3 linked regions of the Saccharomyces cerevisiae S288C genome follow. Changing the gene in region 1 together with any one later gene gives a genetic interaction. Each region holds a gene or a part of one and is shown in the gene's direction. Other genes may lie near its edges.

The links.
Region 2: mutations in BIR1 (region 1) and CDC6 impair growth when combined (synthetic growth defect), as found in Saccharomyces cerevisiae (one study listed by BioGRID).
Region 3: of BIR1 (region 1) and SLI15, a mutation in one rescues a mutant of the other (synthetic rescue), as found in Saccharomyces cerevisiae (2 studies listed by BioGRID, with this or other methods).

Annotation. Positions count from the first base shown.
Region 1 is NC_001142.9:583,863-592,950, forward strand, and holds BIR1 (survivin), read left to right. Parts: upstream 1-3,855; coding exon 3,856-6,720; downstream 6,721-9,088. Other genes in the region: YJR084W (uncharacterized protein), read left to right, coding at 1-1,142; TMH11 (Tmh11p), read right to left, coding at 1,258-1,575; STE18 (Ste18p), read left to right, coding at 2,206-2,538; EMC2 (Emc2p), read right to left, coding at 2,633-3,511; SCF ubiquitin ligase complex subunit GRR1, read right to left, coding at 7,010-9,088. UniProt on the Saccharomyces cerevisiae protein: Component of the chromosomal passenger complex (CPC), a complex that acts as a key regulator of chromosome segregation and cytokinesis.
Region 2 is NC_001142.9:65,780-71,382, forward strand, and holds CDC6 (AAA family ATPase CDC6), read left to right. Parts: upstream 1-3,558; coding exon 3,559-5,100; downstream 5,101-5,603. Other genes in the region: putative ubiquitin-specific protease UBP12, read left to right, coding at 1-1,790; fatty acid elongase ELO1, read right to left, coding at 2,071-3,003; YJL193W (uncharacterized protein), read left to right, coding at 5,587-5,603. UniProt on the Saccharomyces cerevisiae protein: Plays a crucial role in forming the pre-replicative complexes.
Region 3 is NC_001134.8:550,601-556,932, reverse strand, and holds SLI15 (Sli15p), read left to right. Parts: upstream 1-3,732; coding exon 3,733-5,829; downstream 5,830-6,332. Other genes in the region: AMN1 (Amn1p), read right to left, coding at 1-384; ICS2 (Ics2p), read left to right, coding at 2,623-3,390; HSP70/90 family co-chaperone CNS1, read right to left, coding at 6,005-6,332. UniProt on the Saccharomyces cerevisiae protein: Component of the chromosomal passenger complex (CPC), a complex that acts as a key regulator of mitosis. Stimulates IPL1 kinase activity and facilitates its association with the mitotic spindle.

The DNA of each region.
Region 1 (9,088 bases):
AAGAGAGTGTACGATTACAAAGGTTTTACCAATTAGGAGTAGATCTAAAATTGAAGTATTCCAAGCGGAGGTCATTGAAGAAGCAAGGGCGGATCAAGAATGCTACTGAGGAATTGCTGCGATTAGCCAATGAACAGTTGAAACTTTTCAACAGAATAGTAGAAAGAGAAACCAATTGGATAATTTATCCGCTGTGGGTAATGGCTAAACAATTAATTCGTCTGGCAAACGAATCTAGTGAACTTAATAAAGACTCAATTGAGGAATGTGGACGCACTATCCATAGAAGCTTTACTATATGCCTCAATGATAGGAACCCAAGATTGAATGAAAATAAAAAAATCGGGTGTTATATGTTTGCTAATCTAGAGTTTTCCATCTACCATCGGTTAAGTAATAAAGATATGATTAAAAATTTAGTGAAAGTCCTCGAGAGCAGAGTGAACGCCCGGGATATACCACCGTTGAATAAAAGCCTGGCAATGGAACATAAGTCTCAAGTGGTGTTGTATAATTATTATCTAGGTCAATACTACGGATGTCTGGAAAACGATCACGAACGCGGGTTCTTCCATTTAAATGAAGCATTATTGCAATGTCCAATGCTATATGTGGAATCTACCGGCAAGTTCGTCTTACAGGGCCAAATGGAAAAGATAATGATACTGCTGGTTCCGCTTGCTCTTTTAACTAAAAGGTTGTACCCTCACTGGGATCATCCAGTAATCGCCGGAGTAATTACTAGGAGTAAGCGCTTAAGTCAAGTTTATCCGACATTAGTGCGTAGCGTAATCTCAGGGAACCTGTCACTGTACGAGGCTACCGCAGCAAGCCATGAAAGATTTTTCCTTTCGCAAGGATTGCATGTCGTCATCACATTACTTCGAGAGGTGGTCTTCACTCGGTTGGTACAACGATGTTGGCAATGGGGGAATGATCGGAAAAGTATCATGCCCTTGAAAATTCTTCTGGCAACAAAACAACACGATAGTTCTGCCAATGAGGACGAAGAGGAGCAGTTGGATGCCCTAGAATGCCGTCTAGCAAGTGCTATAGCAAGTGGGCTTTTGCGTGCTTATCTTTCTCACTCCAACCGCTGCATCGTTTTCAGTAAGAAGGAGCCCTTTCCCCATAGCAAATGATAGAAAAATAGTCAATAATTGAACGAAGAAAAAAAAAAGAAAGTTTGTTCATAAAAGAATATCATATTATATATATATATAGGGTCGTATATATATCGTGCGTCTTCTTCCTTCTCTAAGGGTAAAATTCCTTGTATTTGTTATAATAGTAGTAACTGCCGAGCCCACCCAAAGCTGTCAAAACGACAGGGACAGGTTTAGTGAACCTGGAAGGCATGCCTCTTATGACACCAGCACCAAGTAGTAAGGTCGATGCACCCAATGCCATTTCGAGCCCACCATCTCTATTCATATGTAGCAAGTAACCGGCAATCCCATATACACTACCGAATACTAAGCCAGATACTAGAGATGGAATGGAGCCCTTACGGTAGTATCCCATAAGGCCACCGGCTGTAGTCAAAAGACTCAATGTATATGCTGGATGTTCCATAGTGTGATCTGATGTTCCTTTCTCTCAAACTTCGTTTCTGTCTTGTCTCCCGCTGTTACCTAATAACTTCATGTGATCTGCTCCCCCTTCTCGTTAAATACCACCTTTTCATCAACCCCGTAGGGCGCGACACGTCTAAAATATTAACCTCTGAATACTTATTGGGTCAAAATGAATGTTGATAACTTTCCTTTACAAAAAAAAAACTAATAGAGTATATGCATTTCGGTAGTGAAATATTCGTTAATGCTAATATGCTCAGTAGTGATCCTAGATTACCAGTTTTACTGCAGCCATCGTACAATTTTGGAACGAGTATAAAGAGAGAAATTAAAAACGACAAGAAATATTCGTACTAGCTTCTCTTCCGGCTTGATGACAGTCTTAATATCATCTGCAACTCTTGAAATCTTGCTTTATAGTCAAAATTTACGTACGCTTTTCACTATATAATATGATTTGTCAATGTGATGAGTGAATGTCTCCCTGTTACCCGGTTTTCATGTTGATTTTTGTTTCAGGCTCTAAATGTTTGATGCAATATTTAACAAGGAGAACAGAAATGTTTTGTGACAGCACCTGTCAATTTTAGGATAGTAGCAATCGCAAACGTTCTCAATAATTCTAAGAATGACATCAGTTCAAAACTCTCCACGCTTACAACAACCTCAGGAACAGCAACAGCAACAGCAACAGCTTTCCTTAAAGATAAAACAATTGAAGTTAAAAAGAATCAACGAACTTAACAATAAACTGAGGAAAGAACTCAGCCGTGAAAGAATTACTGCTTCAAATGCATGTCTTACAATAATAAACTATACCTCGAATACAAAAGATTATACATTACCAGAACTATGGGGCTACCCCGTAGCAGGATCAAATCATTTTATAGAGGGTTTGAAAAATGCTCAAAAAAATAGCCAAATGTCAAACTCAAATAGTGTTTGTTGTACGCTTATGTAATGATAGTAATAGAATCCAAAAAAAAAAAAAATATACATGCTTTTTCATATCCTCTCTCACCCTATCTTTTTTTTTCTTCTAATTTTGGCTCCGTTCATATCTTATTCAAAATTAATTCAGCGGTAATCTTATCTTTATTGTTAGACTTCGCAGAAATTTCCTTTAGCTTCGATGCAGATAGTTTGATCAAGTCATTTTGTTTATTACGTCCCAGTTCGCGAGAAATGATGTTAACCAATGCCCACCCTTTTAGGTATAGTTCGCTAAGTTCAACGCTCCTCAAAGCATTCTTTAATGCCTTTTCCAAGAGCTCGGTCTTGGTTTGTTTCTTGCTACGTAGAGCCTCATAATACAGAGTCTCACTTAGCCTACCAAAACAAGCGTAATTGAATGGTGTAATACATAGGACCTGTTCCAAACAATAACAGGCTTTTTCAAATTGGCCCATTTCGAAATAAATCTCGCTGGCATACCACCACAATTCTGCATCAAGCGGGAATTTATCTGTAAGAGCTACCACTTCTTTAAGAACACTTTCTTGGCTCAAGTTCTTGGAAGTTGTCTTGATAGCTATCAATTTCTTTGCAATAGAGACATAAGTAACGAAGTCCGTTTCATACTCCAGATCATCATTCAACAAATTTTCCAGATATTCAATAGCGCCTTTATCATTTCCGTTTATCTGCAATAAAGTGGCTTTCATGATTACCATTTTATACGAATTTTCACCAAGACGATCTCTTAATGTATTATAAACAACTTGCGCATCAACGTCTTGGTTTCGGTACACCAAAACATAGAAAAGCATTTCCATCAAGAAGAAATAGTTTCCTTCTGTTAGTGCAGAGTCTCCGCTTTTCATGTAAATTTTCATTTCATTTTCTAGTTGCAGTAATTGTTCTGGATTAAATTGAGTATACGCTTTGGTATTCATAATTGTCAAAAGCTTTTCTCTAACCAAATCCTTCAACATTGTTTTATCTACTGCTTTCTATAATTTTCTCCGTTCCAATGCGATCCAATGCCTTTCATTCATACATAGTTATTTATTTCATTAACGATCCAAATCTCTTTACTTAACTTCACTAGTCAACGCTTCTAACACATCACGCGATACGAAGATTAACAGTTTAGTATAATATTGCAATACATACCCATTTCACACATCGGTCAAGGTCATCAAGCACTTTTAGTTATAGTGTGTCCTATAGTTCTTTCAGATTGATTGAGGTTTCATATTAGTGTTGAAAGCCTAGCTAAAGTTCTCTGGGCGTGCAACATTCGAGGACACATCGGTTGTTTATACCTCATGGGATTATGGATGGTCAAATAGATAAAATGGAGAAGCGATATAGCATGACCAAACTGGAGAATAGGTTAAGGACTTTCCAAGATGGTGTTGCACTTGAAAAAAAAAAGTTAAAGTGGAGTTTTAAAGTTATTCCGTATCAGGCAATGGCCAAGCTTGGATTTTACTTTGATCCAGTGATCGATCCTAAGACATCTAAACTGAAAAAAGACTCTGTAAGATGTTGCTATTGTCATCGTCAAACATACAATGTGAGAGACTGCAGATCCAAAAGAAAAGATGTTCTTGAGACTCTAAGCAATATAATGAGGCAACATCTGACTGTTACTGATAACAAACAAGTTTGCCTCCTTATTTACTTGCGCAATAAGCTATTGACGGACTATAGCTTCCATATGGGGGTTTCGGACTGGAAAAATGACAAGTACTTCAGCAATCCAGATGATGAAAACGTGATAAACCTAAGAAAATTTACTTTTCAAGATAACTGGCCTCACAGTGGTTCTCAAAATGAACATCCGCTGGGTATAGAAAAGATGGTGAATGCAGGACTCATGCGATACGACTCCAGCATAGAAGGCTTAGGCGATCCAAGCATGGATAAAACACTTATGAACGATACCTGTTATTGTATTTATTGCAAACAGTTGTTACAAGGTTGGTCAATAAATGACGATCCGATGAGCCGACATTATAAGGTTTCTCAAAATGGGAACTGTTATTTCTTTCAGACACGTAATCGATTTGAGAGAATAAAAAATGACAATGACAGTATCACGAAAAATTGCGAAGTCTCTCCAACTTTAGGCGAAAATGGGAAAAGAGAAGTGATCAACACGAAAACCGCTTCTCAAAGGCAGTGTCCTTTATTTGAGTCACCTCCATCTAGTACTGGTCCTCAACTTGACGATTATAATGAGAAGACAGATATATCTGTTATTCAACATAATATAAGTGTGCTTGATGGAGCACAAGGCGAAAATGTAAAACGTAATAGTGTGGAAGAAAAAGAACAAATCAACATGGAAAATGGAAGCACTACATTAGAAGAGGGCAATATAAATCGTGATGTTTTAGCAGATAAGAAAGAAGTTATTTCGACACCAACTGCAAAAGAAATCAAACGTCCAAATGTCCAGCTAACCCAATCATCGTCACCTATAAAAAAGAAAAGAAAGTTTAAGAGAATATCGCCTAGAAAAATCTTTGATGAGGAAGATAGCGAACACTCCCTTAATAATAATTCTGCCAACGGAGACAACAAAGATAAGGATTTGGTTATAGATTTTACAAGCCATATCATAAAAAATAGAGATGTAGGGAGAAAGAATGCTATTTTAGATGACAGCACAGATGAATTCAGTTTCAGTAACCAAGGACATAACACATTTGACATACCTATACCAACCTCATCACATTTGCTCAAAGGTATAGATTCAGATAATGACAATGTTATACGAGAAGATGATACTGGCATAAATACAGACACAAAAGGAGCGTCTTCTAAACACGAAAAATTTTCTGTTAATTCTGAAGAAGATTTAAATTTCAGTGAAGTGAAACTCACAGGTAGAGACAGTAGTACTAATATTCTTATAAGAACGCAAATTGTAGATCAGAATTTGGGTGATATCGACAGAGATAAGGTCCCCAATGGTGGATCCCCAGAAGTTCCAAAGACACATGAGTTAATTAGAGATAACTCTGAAAAGAGGGAAGCACAAAACGGGGAATTTCGACATCAAAAAGATTCAACTGTACGGCAATCTCCAGATATATTACATTCTAATAAAAGTGGTGATAATTCCAGTAATATTACCGCAATACCCAAAGAGGAACAAAGGAGAGGCAATAGCAAAACATCCAGCATTCCCGCTGATATTCATCCTAAACCAAGGAAAAACTTGCAAGAACCAAGAAGCCTATCAATAAGTGGAAAAGTTGTTCCAACAGAAAGAAAATTAGATAACATCAATATAGATCTAAATTTTTCGGCGTCCGATTTTTCACCATCATCACAATCTGAGCAATCATCAAAAAGCTCAAGCGTTATTTCAACGCCGGTAGCGAGCCCTAAAATTAATCTCACACGCAGTTTGCATGCAGTCAAAGAGCTTTCTGGCCTCAAAAAAGAAACTGACGATGGTAAGTATTTTACTAATAAGCAGGAAACTATAAAAATACTGGAAGATGTGTCTGTGAAGAATGAGACCCCAAATAATGAAATGTTACTTTTTGAGACTGGAACCCCGATCGCATCTCAAGAAAACAAGTCAAGAAAATTATTTGATGAAGAGTTTTCTGGGAAGGAATTGGATATACCTATAGATTCATCAACTGTAGAAATAAAAAAGGTTATTAAACCCGAATTTGAGCCAGTCCCATCAGTTGCAAGGAATTTGGTGTCTGGAACCTCTTCATATCCACGGAATTCACGTTTAGAAGAACAAAGAAAGGAAACAAGCACAAGTTTGGCTGATAATTCTAAGAAAGGAAGTTCATTTAATGAGGGCAACAACGAAAAAGAACCGAATGCAGCAGAATGGTTTAAAATTGATGAAAATAGACACCTTGTAAAAAATTACTTCCATGATTTGTTAAAATATATAAATAATAATGATGCTACGCTAGCTAATGACAAAGACGGTGATCTGGCTTTTTTGATTAAGCAAATGCCTGCAGAAGAGTTGGACATGACATTCAACAATTGGGTGAACCTAAAAGTGCAATCTATTAAGCGCGAATTTATAGATGACTGTGATAAGAAATTGGACATATTGAGAAGGGATTACTATACTGCCACAAATTTTATTGAAACTTTGGAAGATGACAATCAATTGATCGATATTGCTAAGAAAATGGGCATTTTATAGCTAACTAATTTGATAAACAGGCTAAAGGTTTGTATTTTTTGTAGTTTTGAAACTGTGTATAGAATGTTTCGCCGCATCGCAGATATCTGCAGGGAACTGTTGACATAGCATCTTCTGTGGACGTGACAACGTTACGTATATTCGTTGATACCGCAAGTCTATAGCGTATACATGCTAAGGCAAAAAGTTTCAAAGTGAATGCATTATGTATTTATATGTAAATAAGTAAGAAAAGTGGGATTTTGAAAATAAAGGTGTAGTAGGACAGTAAGTATTCAATGAAATACAATTATAACATATCTTCATCGGGCGTTCCTGATGCTTCATCCATTTGAGAATCAATGGCAGTGTCAGGCATTGATTCGTCAATTGTGTTGTTGTTATTGTTCCTAACCATGTTCTGATTACGAAGTCCCATTTGGAGATTCCTCATCTGGTCAGGTGATATTTGCATTCTATTGCCAAACTGACGCCAGAAATTTGGATTTTCTGTTTCATTGTCATCATTACCATTGTTAGTTTCATTGTTACTTGTATCGTTTGCCCCAGCATCCGATACAATATTCACTATGTTGTTGGCGTTCCGGTTGGCGTCATTGTCATTATTGTTATTCCATGCTGATCTTTGGTGGGCTATTAATAGTTCTCTTTGTCTGGTTAACAATGTTATGTTATCTTTTAAATATAGTCTCAAAACAACGGTGGAGAGCTTGTACTTCTGAACCACCATAATGAATTTGTCAATGAATAAAAGTCGCCATATTAAAAGCCCTTTTTGGTAATCTATGTTGCCCGATTCCTGAACCGTTTTTTGTACTAAACAAATTTGTCTGTTTAATTCAATCATTTGCATATAGGTTTGAGTCATTTCATGAAGTAAAAAACCAGTAAACTGAAACTGAACTCTTACCAAACTAGCAACATTCACCTCGAAATCATCAATATGATCATTTAACTCATGGAATTTTCTAACAATATGACACATTTCACTGTTAATTTCCCGGTTTACACCAGGTGCTACGACATAATCTTGATCATCGTCCACATCACTAAATGGATCTTCACAAAACGTCTTGTTTACTTGCAATAATAGTGAGTTAACTTCCTCCGAGCTCATCCTAATGCCATCAAAAGTATTGAGATACCAACTGAATACTTCATCTATTCGTTCAAAATTGATATTCTGGAAAAGAAAATCGTTATTTAGACCGTTGATTTGATTTAATCCTGTAGCAGCTATAATTGCAGCGGAATCTTGATTTAAATCAGTTATGATTCTCCTAAGAGCATCTTCAAGTGTTTCACCGTTAAATATCAAATTCTTGGATCTAATATATTTTGTCAAAACATCATTTACATCGACATGTGGTCCAAAAGCGGGCGACGTTAAATTTACTAAATAATGGCGAAGTTTATGAACACCTTTCCCTGAAAATACGCAGAATATTTGACGTTGATTTTCACTAAAGTCTGAGGGTGCAGGCCTGCAATACATCGTTATATCGGGGCGTAAAAATGACGGAACAGCAGTCAAAGACAAATGTGAGAGCCTTGGGCAAGACATTAGAAGCTCATATATCGGATATATTGTTAAATTAGAACAGTAAGATAAATGTACCCTTTCTAAAGTATCATTTCGGCCTCGCAAGGAAACCATATTCAACAAACCCTCGTCAGTCATTTGCGTACATTTGACAAGGCCAATTCTCTTTAATTTTGGTAAGTCTGCTAGTTCATAAAGAGTTCTATTGGTTAAATTCGTACAGCACGCAAAGTCCACATACTGTATTCTTGTACATGAATGAAAGAGTGCTCTTACCCCGTTATCAGTTATATTGAAACAGTGCCCAAAATGCACTGTTTGCAAGTTTTTGCCCAGCTTCGATAATTGGAACAACGATGCATCTGTAATTCGGCTACACTTGCCTAGAAAAACATTACGTAATTTAGGGGCTAAATTGACTATACTTTCTATAGTTTTATCTGTAATATTTTCACATCCAGAAAGATCAATCAATCTTAAAGAGGGCATATCGTCAACTACTTTAGAAAGCTCCTGGAAAAGATTATCCGTAATATTCGTATTATGAGTTATTCTGAATTCCCTCAGCTGAACTAACCTAGTGAGGAGTTTTAACAAACTAGAATCAGTGACATTTGGACTTAATGTTATATCGACCTCTACAAGCAAAGGGCATTTGTTGGCTAATAGTTCTACTAATTCGTCATTCATGTTATTGTTTGCTGTGATTTTTATTCTTTTCAACATCGGGGAATGGACTATGAAATTCCGCAGTGAATCGAATGTTACATTCCTTGCCTGAGGAACATAAAAGCCCTGTACTCTGGGACAATATGTCGCTAAGGT
Region 2 (5,603 bases), 520 kb from region 1:
TATTGAATACTAGAATTGAAAAAGGCTACAAAAATGCAATGTTATTTGGAGTCCCTTTCTTTATTACGTTAAAAGAAGATGAATTGAATAATCCAGGTGCAATAAGAATGAAATTGCAAAACAGGTTTGTCCATTTAAGTGGTGGGTATATCCCATTTCCTGAACCTGTAGGAAATCGAACCGATTTTGCTGATGCTTTTCCATTATTAGTAGAAAAATATCCAGATGTTGAATTTGAACAATATAAAGATATACTACAGTATACGTCTATTAAGGTGACTGACAAGGATAAATCCTTTTTTTCCATCAAGATTCTGTCTGTAGAAAAAGAGCAGCAATTTGCTAGTAATAACCGAACAGGGCCTAATTTCTGGACCCCTATCTCCCAGTTAAACCTTGACAAAGCTACAGATATAGACGATAAACTTGAAGATGTGGTGAAGGATATCTACAATTATTCATCCTTAGTAGATTGTGCTGAAGGGGTCCTTATGCAAGTGGATGATGAGGGAGATACCGAGGGTAGTGAAGCAAAGAATTTTTCCAAGCCCTTCCAATCGGGAGATGATGAAGAAAATAAAGAAACTGTAACAAATAATGAAAATGTAAATAATACTAATGATCGGGATGAAGATATGGAACTAACAGATGATGTTGAAGAAGATGCAAGTACAGAGCCAGAATTAACAGATAAGCCAGAGGCGTTAGATAAAATTAAGGATAGCTTGACTTCCACTCCGTTTGCGATTCTTTCTATGAATGATATTATTGTTTGTGAGTGGAGCGAATTGGGTTCAAATGAGGCATTTTCCGATGATAAAATATATAACTGGGAAAATCCAGCTACTTTGCCTAACAAAGAGTTGGAGAACGCTAAGTTGGAAAGATCTAACGCTAAGGAAAGAACCATAACCTTGGACGATTGTCTCCAATTATTTTCCAAACCAGAAATACTAGGATTAACCGATTCGTGGTACTGCCCTACATGCAAGGAACATCGTCAGGCTACCAAACAAATACAACTTTGGAATACACCAGATATTCTGCTAATTCACCTTAAAAGGTTTGAAAGTCAAAGGTCTTTTAGCGATAAAATTGATGCCACGGTTAATTTCCCCATTACAGATTTGGATCTGTCGAGGTACGTTGTCTATAAAGATGATCCCAGAGGTTTAATCTATGACCTGTATGCAGTAGATAACCACTATGGTGGTTTGGGTGGTGGGCACTATACCGCGTACGTAAAGAATTTTGCCGACAATAAATGGTACTATTTTGATGATTCTCGAGTAACTGAAACTGCGCCAGAAAATAGTATAGCTGGATCGGCTTATTTGCTATTTTACATTCGCCGTCATAAAGATGGCAATGGATTAGGCAGCTCTAAACTACAGGAAATAATCCAAAAGTCACGCCACGGATATGATGAGCGTATCAAAAAGATATACGATGAACAGATGAAGTTGTATGAATTTAATAAGACTGACGAGGAGGAAGATGTTTCTGATGATATGATAGAATGTAATGAAGATGTGCAGGCCCCTGAATATAGTAATCGTAGTTTGGAGGTTGGGCATATTGAAACTCAGGACTGCAACGACGAAGATGACAATGATGATGGTGAGAGGACAAATTCAGGTAGGAGAAAGTTAAGATTGTTGAAAAAAGTCTACAAGAATAATTCAGGCTTGGGTTCATCGAGTACGTCTGAAATATCTGAGGGATGCCCAGAAAACGAAGTCGCTGATTTGAATTTAAAAAATGGTGTGACACTAGAATCGCCAGAATAATGACATGAGTTTATATGATAGATAAAATTAATAAATTTCCACATGTATAATACTTTTCAATCTTTTTCGCCTACTATTTACTGCCTAGGCTAATAAATTATATGTTTTTGTCCTGGGCGCGACATTCCAAAAAAAAAATAAAAAAGAAGAGAAAATACTGGCTTATGAATACAAAAATTACATAAACGAAGCAAAATGATTATTTCGAATAAAACAGTCTATATATAAGTCAAATACAAGATAGGAAGAAAAACAGAAAAAAACAAAACAGAAGGACTGGTTAATTGTTTTTGTTGATCTTCTTCTTACCACTAGCACTTCCACGTTTGTAAACCTCAATATAGAAAGAGATGAACAAAAACAAGTAGGATGTAAGAATGGCTGCACCAGCAGCAATAGCCGTCATTGAACCTAAGCAATCCTCACACTGTGGAGTACAAGCATTTTTGAAATATGCAGCAACAATCTTCTGATAAAGCACGTAATAAACGACAATGAGATCAAGCATGAACTGCACAATTTGTAGTCTTGTAACCCAGGCTTTCCACCAAACACGAATTCCGCTAGCAGAAAGGAAATAATACCAATACATAAGAACGTGAACAGCTAAGTTTAAGGTGACAGGAACCCATGTAACTGCTGTGTAACCAACCAATTGATTATAGCACAGTAAAGCTGTAGCACCATGATGGTATGTATGTAGGAAAGTCAACTTTCTATGTTTCAACACCATCAAGACAGTGTCTGCGAACTCCACAAACTTTGTCATATAGTTGAGATAATATAATGTCTCCATCGGTTGCGTCCACGATTCAACATTACAAACAGCAAAATACAGCCCATGGCGATACACTATGGGTAGCATCTGTTCCACCATCAAAATCAACCATAAAAAGGAAACAGAAGTCAACATCAAGTTATGGACTTGAGAAATAAATCTCAACTTGAGAGGTTTACATGACTTTACCAGGGACCTCCCGCCAAATATAACCACATAATACATGGCAATAAAAAGCAGTACCGGACGAGGTTCACTCAAAGGCTGCTTCCCAACGGTAAACTCAAAATCCTTTGGCTGGAAGCGACCTGCAGTGGCCCACCCAACCGCACGATTGAAATAGTCCCACAAATAAATATTAAAAAAAGGCCTATCTATTGTTGGGCGAAACCTAGAGGCTTTCTCGAGGCAAAAATTTTTCCAATCACTTACCATACTTGCTTGCAAATTTAGCTCTCAAGTTCCTTAAAATTGATAAGGTATCCTACCTTAATATTCATATCAGTTAGTCTTATATACTTCTACCTCTTTTTCTGGCTTCCTTTCTTTCCCTTATGTCCTTCGGTTTACTAATCCGTAAAGCCGACGCGGGTAAGCCAAGACCCTGAGTTTAGAACTAATATTTCGTCACGTCACGTAAGTGCAAGGTAATAAAAGCAGCAGAAATATCTGTAGTTTCAACAAAATATGTCTGGCTTGCGATTTGTTGTGTTTTGAAACTAGTTGCTAGTCTGCATTCCTTTGTTTTCCCTGAATTACCCAAAGAAGAAAGCGACGCGAGGCCTCACGCGTCGGAGTTTCCAGATCAGGAAATTACCCACTTAGGAAATTGAGTTGGCTGGCAGAAAAGATATAACGCCATCTTGAAAAATAGTATTAGTTAGTCTATTTTTTCATTTATATAGTAGAGGTATATTCTCTGGAAGAACAATTTTGGAATATTCAGAACACTGCGCTGCACTATTTTCATCAATAGTACCATATACGTTCATGTCAGCTATACCAATAACTCCAACTAAGCGTATCAGAAGAAATCTATTTGACGATGCTCCAGCAACGCCTCCACGACCTTTGAAAAGAAAAAAGTTGCAGTTCACAGATGTTACACCAGAATCATCCCCAGAAAAACTGCAGTTTGGCTCACAGTCTATTTTTTTGAGGACAAAGGCACTTTTGCAGAAGTCATCTGAGCTAGTCAACTTGAATAGCAGCGATGGTGCATTGCCAGCAAGAACAGCAGAGTACGAACAAGTTATGAATTTTTTGGCGAAGGCAATTTCTGAACACAGGTCCGATTCACTGTACATCACGGGTCCGCCTGGCACTGGCAAGACTGCCCAGCTTGATATGATTATAAGACAGAAGTTCCAGTCCCTCCCATTGTCGCTCTCCACGCCACGCTCGAAGGACGTGCTGAGACATACGAATCCGAACTTGCAGAATTTGTCCTGGTTTGAATTGCCCGATGGAAGGCTAGAATCCGTGGCGGTAACCAGTATTAATTGTATATCGTTGGGAGAGCCGTCCTCCATTTTCCAGAAGATTTTCGATTCCTTCCAAGATCTGAATGGCCCAACATTGCAAATAAAAAACATGCAGCATCTACAGAAGTTCTTAGAGCCTTATCATAAGAAAACTACGTTTGTGGTTGTGTTGGACGAGATGGACAGGCTATTGCATGCTAACACGAGCGAGACACAATCAGTTAGAACTATTCTTGAATTATTCCTTTTGGCGAAATTGCCTACTGTGAGTTTTGTGTTAATCGGTATGGCTAATAGTCTAGATATGAAAGATAGGTTTCTTTCCAGGTTAAATTTGGACAGAGGGTTGTTACCGCAAACTATAGTTTTTCAGCCATACACTGCTGAGCAAATGTATGAAATCGTCATTCAAAAAATGAGTAGTCTGCCCACTATTATCTTCCAACCGATGGCCATCAAATTCGCAGCAAAGAAGTGTGCTGGAAATACGGGTGACCTTCGAAAACTTTTTGATGTCTTAAGGGGAAGTATCGAAATCTATGAGTTAGAAAAGCGGTTTCTGCTTTCACCAACAAGAGGATCATTGAACTCTGCGCAAGTTCCTTTGACGCCAACTACTTCTCCGGTAAAGAAATCGTATCCAGAACCACAAGGTAAAATAGGCTTGAACTACATAGCCAAGGTCTTCTCAAAATTCGTGAACAATAATTCTACGAGAACGAGGATAGCCAAACTAAACATCCAGCAAAAATTAATTCTTTGCACCATAATTCAATCACTGAAGCTAAATTCCGATGCTACAATCGACGAATCGTTTGATCATTATATCAAAGCGATAACAAAAACTGATACTTTAGCACCATTGCAGAGAAATGAATTTTTGGAAATCTGTACAATTTTAGAAACTTGTGGGCTGGTTTCAATCAAAAAGACAAAGTGTAAAGGGAAAACCAAGAGATTTGTTGATAAGATTGATGTTGATCTCGACATGCGAGAATTTTATGATGAGATGACCAAAATTTCAATTTTGAAACCTTTCCTTCACTAGTCAGCTAATAGATTTATTTTTTCTTTTTTTTTTACAGTTCCACTTGCATCCCTCATTTTTCACATTCCTTTTTTTATAGAAAAGCATATCACTATATAAAAATTCTATTATAGTTGTAACAGCATAGCATATTATAGACTTTTTTTTTCTGGAAACGGTTAAACCGTTTGGCTGAGATGCAATGATATACGCAACATTGCATTCAAAGAAATTGCAAAAAAGACACAATAAAACGTAATTTGTACAAATATTTTACTATCATTAGCTACTGGATGCAGAATGGATGATTGTTAGGGGGAGGTGGGGTACAATTGTTTGTTTTTGATACATTTTCTCTTTCAAATCGCAACCAATTCACTCTGCTAATGTGATAACAATGGCGCCTGTCGGAAAGGTGAAAAAAAAAAAATGCAAACAAATAAATTGGCACGGTGTGACATATGCCTTCTATAATAATGAAGGAACTCGAAGAAAAAGGGGAAAACGATGTTTCAACAGCTGTC
Region 3 (6,332 bases), on another chromosome or scaffold:
TGCAGAAACAACTCGAGAGGTTGCCCATGCATTTTCTGTAGCCGTATTTTTTAATGGTGTGGCCTCTGGAGTTGAAAGATACTCATTGCAGCTTTTCTTATTAGGCGTAGTTTGCACACTACTTTGAAGAAAACTTTGATCTGTTTTTAAAGACAAATCTGGTCTTACTAACTCCACTTTGCTTGAGCCGGGATTGTAACTACTTTGATGAAGATGACCTCCATACTTCCTTACAATATCTTTGAAAGGCTTCTCCATTTTAAGAGATGTGAAAGATGGACTAGGTGACATTTTTTTCAGCGGTCTAGTACACGGAGATTCAAGTGACTGGATATCTCTACCTCTTTTGAAGGAGCCATTGCTGCTTACGCGTTCTAGTTTCATTTAATGGGTACTTTACTAACAGAAAAGGAAAATGATAAATTATCAAACGAAGGGAATTATTAGTTCTAAGTGAAAGGAATGGATGGATATTAAACCAAAAAGGGATATTAAACCAAATTCAAAGAATAAAAGGAAAAGACAGGTATAAGTTCTAGAAGAAATAAACAGAGAAAAAAATGATATGATAAATAAGTTATTTTTGTACAGTTAACACATATAGTTTTAAAACTTTTTGAACGTTTTTGTTAGTTCCCTTGGGCCTTAATTCCGTACTTTAAAGTGTGAAGAGTATAGTCTATAGGACCCTTATAAAGAAGGGTTGCTATATATATATATATCCACAACTATACTCCCTTTCTTTCGTATATCTGAAGGTATCCTACTACTTGAAACAAACTTGAAGAATGGTTACTGAACAAAGGACAAGCATAAACACTCCAAGGCAAGGCGATACAAAAAACACCAGCAGGAATAAGATGATTGATGAGACATCCTAAGTCCAATAGAAGAAACAAGCGAGAAATAGCGGAACCAGGAAACCGAAGTTGAAGGAAATTCTTTCTTTCAATTAAGCTTTTTGTTACCATTTAGGAAACTTCCACGGTGTCATAATTGTGTTTTGTTTGTTTACTTCTGCAAGTTAATGAAAATCCTGGCGGACGACAGCCAGTAATGGCCGGAGAGTGCTTTATTTTGCCCAGCAAAAAAATTTTGCGAGTGTAACAAAGAGCGCGAGAGCAGACTACCACTAAGAAAAGCTTCGGGCAATGCGCAGCAAAAAATAGAAAAAAATGAGCAAAAAAGAGAAACATATTTTAACATGGTCTCCGTGCCTTCGGCGTACCCAGACAATTACGGTTAACACCCACAACGTCAAACAAGATAATATGTTCCACGCTTCGGACTAGAAAGTGACATATCACATGTATGGTAGTATCGTAGGTATAACATCCTTCCGCCATCAAACCCTTGTGGCCTATGAGTGCCTATGCAGGTAATTGCTCCAATAAAGATTAAGCAATTTTTTATCCCATAATTAATTGTCGCCAACCCAACCGAACCAATCCTTTACAATTTTTCACCTTACGCCATAACAAAAATGAGACAACCCCGCCACCTACTACTGATGCAATTATTAACACGTTTTCATCCGTTTATATTTCTCTCCGGCCGTTCAGCACCGGCTTGACCAGCCGGTGCTGAGGACAAGAAAAACACAGCGAAAAAAGGTGGGAGAACGAAGCTTCCGCAATTCTCACACACCAAAAAATGAGTTACCGGCCGTCTCTTCTTTTGCCCCTCGCATATAATGGGATTGCGAACGGAGAACGACAGCAATATAACAAGCGTACGTGATCCCTTTCATTCTGTTATATTCGAGAATAGTTGTTGACAGTGGAGATAACTCCGAAAATATCATGAAAAAGAGGGTTATTTCCGTTCGTCGGGACATTGCTGTAGAGCTCTTCAATGGCCACAACTTGGGAGCGTTAATATGCAATCAAGTTGTAGGGAAGATTATATCTCTCCAGGGATTATTACCTGGGACACAGAGCTCTTTTCCTTATCTCATCTCACGCATCTAGACCCTGCTAGCCGTCGTTTCTTATTTGAAGCGTTAATCACCCTCACTTTTCGTCCGTAGCACGTAAAAAAGAAAAATAGGGTACCGTTTACCTGTCGTTAATATGCAAGTCATTAACAATCCAGCCCAGTACTTTATTTGCTATGGCACGGCATAGGCGCAGGGAGTTCACGATTTGGTCATCAATGATTATCACGATATGGGGGTCCTTATGATCTTGATGTTCTTTCAACTGCTCTTTGTTTCTTTTTTTTTTGTACGACAGTTTATGTGTTAAAGAACACATCCACTCCAATTTTGGGTCGTTTATACTTTTGTTTCGCTAATCTTAAGCCAACCTTGAGTTTATACCTAATTATATGCCACGTTAATGCACAAAACCCCTCGTAATAAACTTTCCTTGGAAGACTTTCTTTTTCTATTCGACGCATTTGGTTACATATCTGTTGGGAAAGAGCCCTTCGACTGCAAGTCCGGCATCAAGAAAGCTTGACATCCAAAGAAGCATTTAAGTATAAATAAATGAGACCCATTCTATCTTCTCAAATAAATCTTTTACAAATATGTGAACGTCAAAGCGCATACTTAATAAAAATTTATACTCTACACCACCTTCGTTATTACTTCACTGAAGTTTCCCTTTCCAGCAAGATATGGGCAAATTTGAGCAAAAAGAAAGAGAAAGAATAAGCACATTTAGTTTTCCTACTACGGGCAGTCAATCTAGTACATCCATTAAATCACTTGGCAGCCCACTCTATGGACGTTTCAGCTCTCTCTCTTCAACAGAATCTCAGTTCGATAGCAGCAAACAACCCCATGAGTACGAAAAGAGCTTTTATTTTGAAGAGTCTCAAGGCGAAGCTCTGTTCAACAAGCTGAAGACCTACTCTTTCCCTGGAGACAAGGATGGTGTGAAAACGAGGAGAAATTCCTCCATATGTCCAAGAAAGCCTAATGCGGTATCACCTTTAAGGGTAGAAAGTAATGAATTATCATCACATTCGCATTCACGTTCATTATCACACGAACTTACAAAGCCTTCAGGGCGAAGGAAAAGTTACCACAGAAAAAGTCATGCAATCTCATTCAGCAGGTCTTGTAAGCCAAATTTCATTGACGGGTACGATTCTAATTCAAGCATAGGCGTCAATTCAAGAAAAACTTCATTGGCAAGTTCTTTCTTGGACAAAGAATATCATTCTTCACCGGATACTTCATATACCCACCAAATGTCCCCGAAAAACACAATCATGAATACCAATGAACAATTAAGAAGAAACGCAAGCGGTAGATTCGGGAGTTTGAAAGAATTCGCTGAAAAAAATCAGATAAATATTGAGGGCAAAATTTTTGCTCATAAAGTGGAAACTGGAGACATATTGCAACCACTAATTGACTTAGATATTGACAATAAATGACTGGATCATTTGTCTCGCATTTTTTTTTTTCGTTTGTTTTGATAAATAAAGGACTTAATGTTAGTTTTGATAATGTTAAATGAATATATAAAAATAAACCATGTAAAGAGTATTTTGTTACGCTGTTTCGTTATAGCGTTATGTCAGTGTTATTATTTCTTATACGCGGAAAAGCCTGATCCATTCTGTTCTGAAACCGATCTTCATATTTTAAATTTCGCGAATTAACTAAAAAAAGAAAACAAACAAAAACTCGTTTCAAGTATTGCCAATGATACAAACAAAACGTTTCAAAGTATCTCCTCAACTGACGGACTTTGAAAGAGCCCGAAGATTTAAACAATGGACTGGGCAATCAAAGCAGCTAGGAAGAAAACTCAAAGGAAGCCAGGCTCTACCCGTTCAATCATAGAAACCCTCGATGATCTAAATAATCTAACAACAGATGCACATTCAGAAATAAATCAACGATTGTACGAAAGTAGTGAATGGTTAAGAAATAATGTTTATATGAATACACTCAAGTATGAAGACAAAAAGATGGAAGAGTCTTTAATTAGCCCCGAAAATACGCATAACAAAATGGATGTCGAATTTCCTAAAATGAAAGGAGAATATGAACTTTCTAACTCCCAGAATGATGCCGCAAAAGACGTTACTAAGACACCCAGAAATGGATTACATAACGATAAAAGTATCACGCCTAAATCACTCCGCAGGAAGGAAGTCACCGAAGGAATGAATAGATTTAGTATACATGATACCAATAAAAGCCCGGTTGAGCCATTGAATAGCGTTAAAGTCGACGCCAATGAAAGCGAAAAATCCTCACCATGGTCACCTTACAAAGTTGAAAAGGTTCTAAGAGAATCCTCCAAGACTTCGGAGTCTCCGATTAATACAAAACGCTTCGATAATCAAACATGGGCGGCTAAGGAAGAAATGGAGAATGAACCTATACTTCAAGCTTTAAAGAAAGCTGAATCAGTAAAGGTGAAACCACCACCGAATTCTGGGATAGCGAGATCTCAAAGAAGGTCGAATATGTTTGTTCCACTGCCGAATAAAGATCCTCTTATTATTCAACACATTCCACCAACAAAATCTTCAGGATCAATACCAAAAGTACGAACAGTAAAGGAATCACCAATCGCATTTAAAAAAAAATCTACGATAAATAGTCCTGCTATAAGAGCTGTGGAAAACAGTGATACCGCGGGATCTACAAAAGCATCCAGTGTTTTCGATAGGCTATCATCTATTCCAACAAAATCATTTGAAAACAAAATTTCCCGTGGAAACGTTGGTCACAAATACTCCTCTTCATCAATCGATTTAACAGGCTCCCCCATGAAAAAAGTTTCTCAAAAGTTTAAGTCAATAAACTCCACGGATACTGATATGCAAGAAGCGTTAAGAGATATATTCTCAGTAAAAAATAAAATAACCAAAAATAATTCACCCAAAGGAAAAAACTCTCGAAAATCCTCTATTCCGAGGTTTGATAAGACTTCTTTGAAGCTAACGACACACAAAAAGCTAGCAATCATTGCAGAACAGAAAAAGAAGTCCAAACACTCTAGTGATGTTCATAAAACTGGTTCAAGACCGCACAGTATTTCTCCAACAAAAATAAGTGTCGATTCAAGCTCGCCATCTAAAGAAGTTAAAAATTATTACCAAAGCCCTGTAAGAGGTTATTTGAGACCAACAAAAGCGTCTATTTCGCCTAATAAAAATAAAAATTTAACAACGTCGCAAACGCCACATCGTTTGAAAATTAAAGAGAAAACATTAAGAAAACTTTCTCCGAATATTGCTGACATCTCCAAGCCAGAGTCTCGTAAATCCAAAAATTATCGGCTTACAAACCTTCAATTACTTCCACCAGCAGAGGCAGAACGAGATGACTTAAAAAAAAAGTTTGATAAAAGGTTATCAGGAATTATGAGGTCTCAACAGGAACATCATCGGCGTAAACAAGAGAAACAAAAAAGGATGTCGCATTTGGAACAAGATCTAAAAAAGCAAACAAGCTTTAGTAATGACTACAAGGACATACGTCTAAAAGAATCTTTGGCTCCTTTCGATAATCATGTGCGAGATACCATCAACAAAAATACTGCATTTAGTACCGACAATATATTGGCCACAATAAATACAGTTGACCATCGAGAAATAATCGGAAATGTGACCCCAAAGATAGCCTCTGTCAATGATTCTTTACCAGAGATAAATACTGATTCTGAAGATGAGGCTAGCGTAACTTTAGCGGCATGGGCTAAATCCCCGTATTTGCAAGAGCAATTGATAAGACAGCAAGATATAAATCCACAAACTATCTTTGGACCAATTCCGCCTTTGCACACCGATGAAATTTTCCCAAATCCTAGGCTAAACAGGTTGAAACCGCGTCAAATTGTGCCCAAAAGGTCTTGAATTCGATTACCCCAGAAAAGAAAAATTCAAACTGGTTAACATTAAATCAAGTACACTTTAAATACTCTGGTATTCCCCCTGCATTACGTATATCGTTCACTTTCTTTACTTTTCCTTCTTGCTTTGTTATTTCTATCTACAACTTTGCGTTACATATTTTTAACTATTTGACACTTCACACAGATCTTCTTTCTAAGGCTTTTTGCTTATCCCACTTGGAAATCCACCCTTCACTTTCTACCTTTGGCACAATATATATTTTCAAAGCGTTATCGAACAATGGTACATCTGGCGACTCTTTCTTCAAGATATCGTGAAATGTCAGTTTCTTACCAGCTTTAATCAAACCACCTGCCTTTGTTTCCATGAACACCAACACTTTCTTTGGTGTGAAGTTTTCCTTACCTTCTTTTTTGAAGCGTTCTTGCGGCCCTTCCAAAACTAGGTCAACAAGTTCTTGCACAGTAGTTAACTCACTTACTTCACCTACAAAATCAAATTCA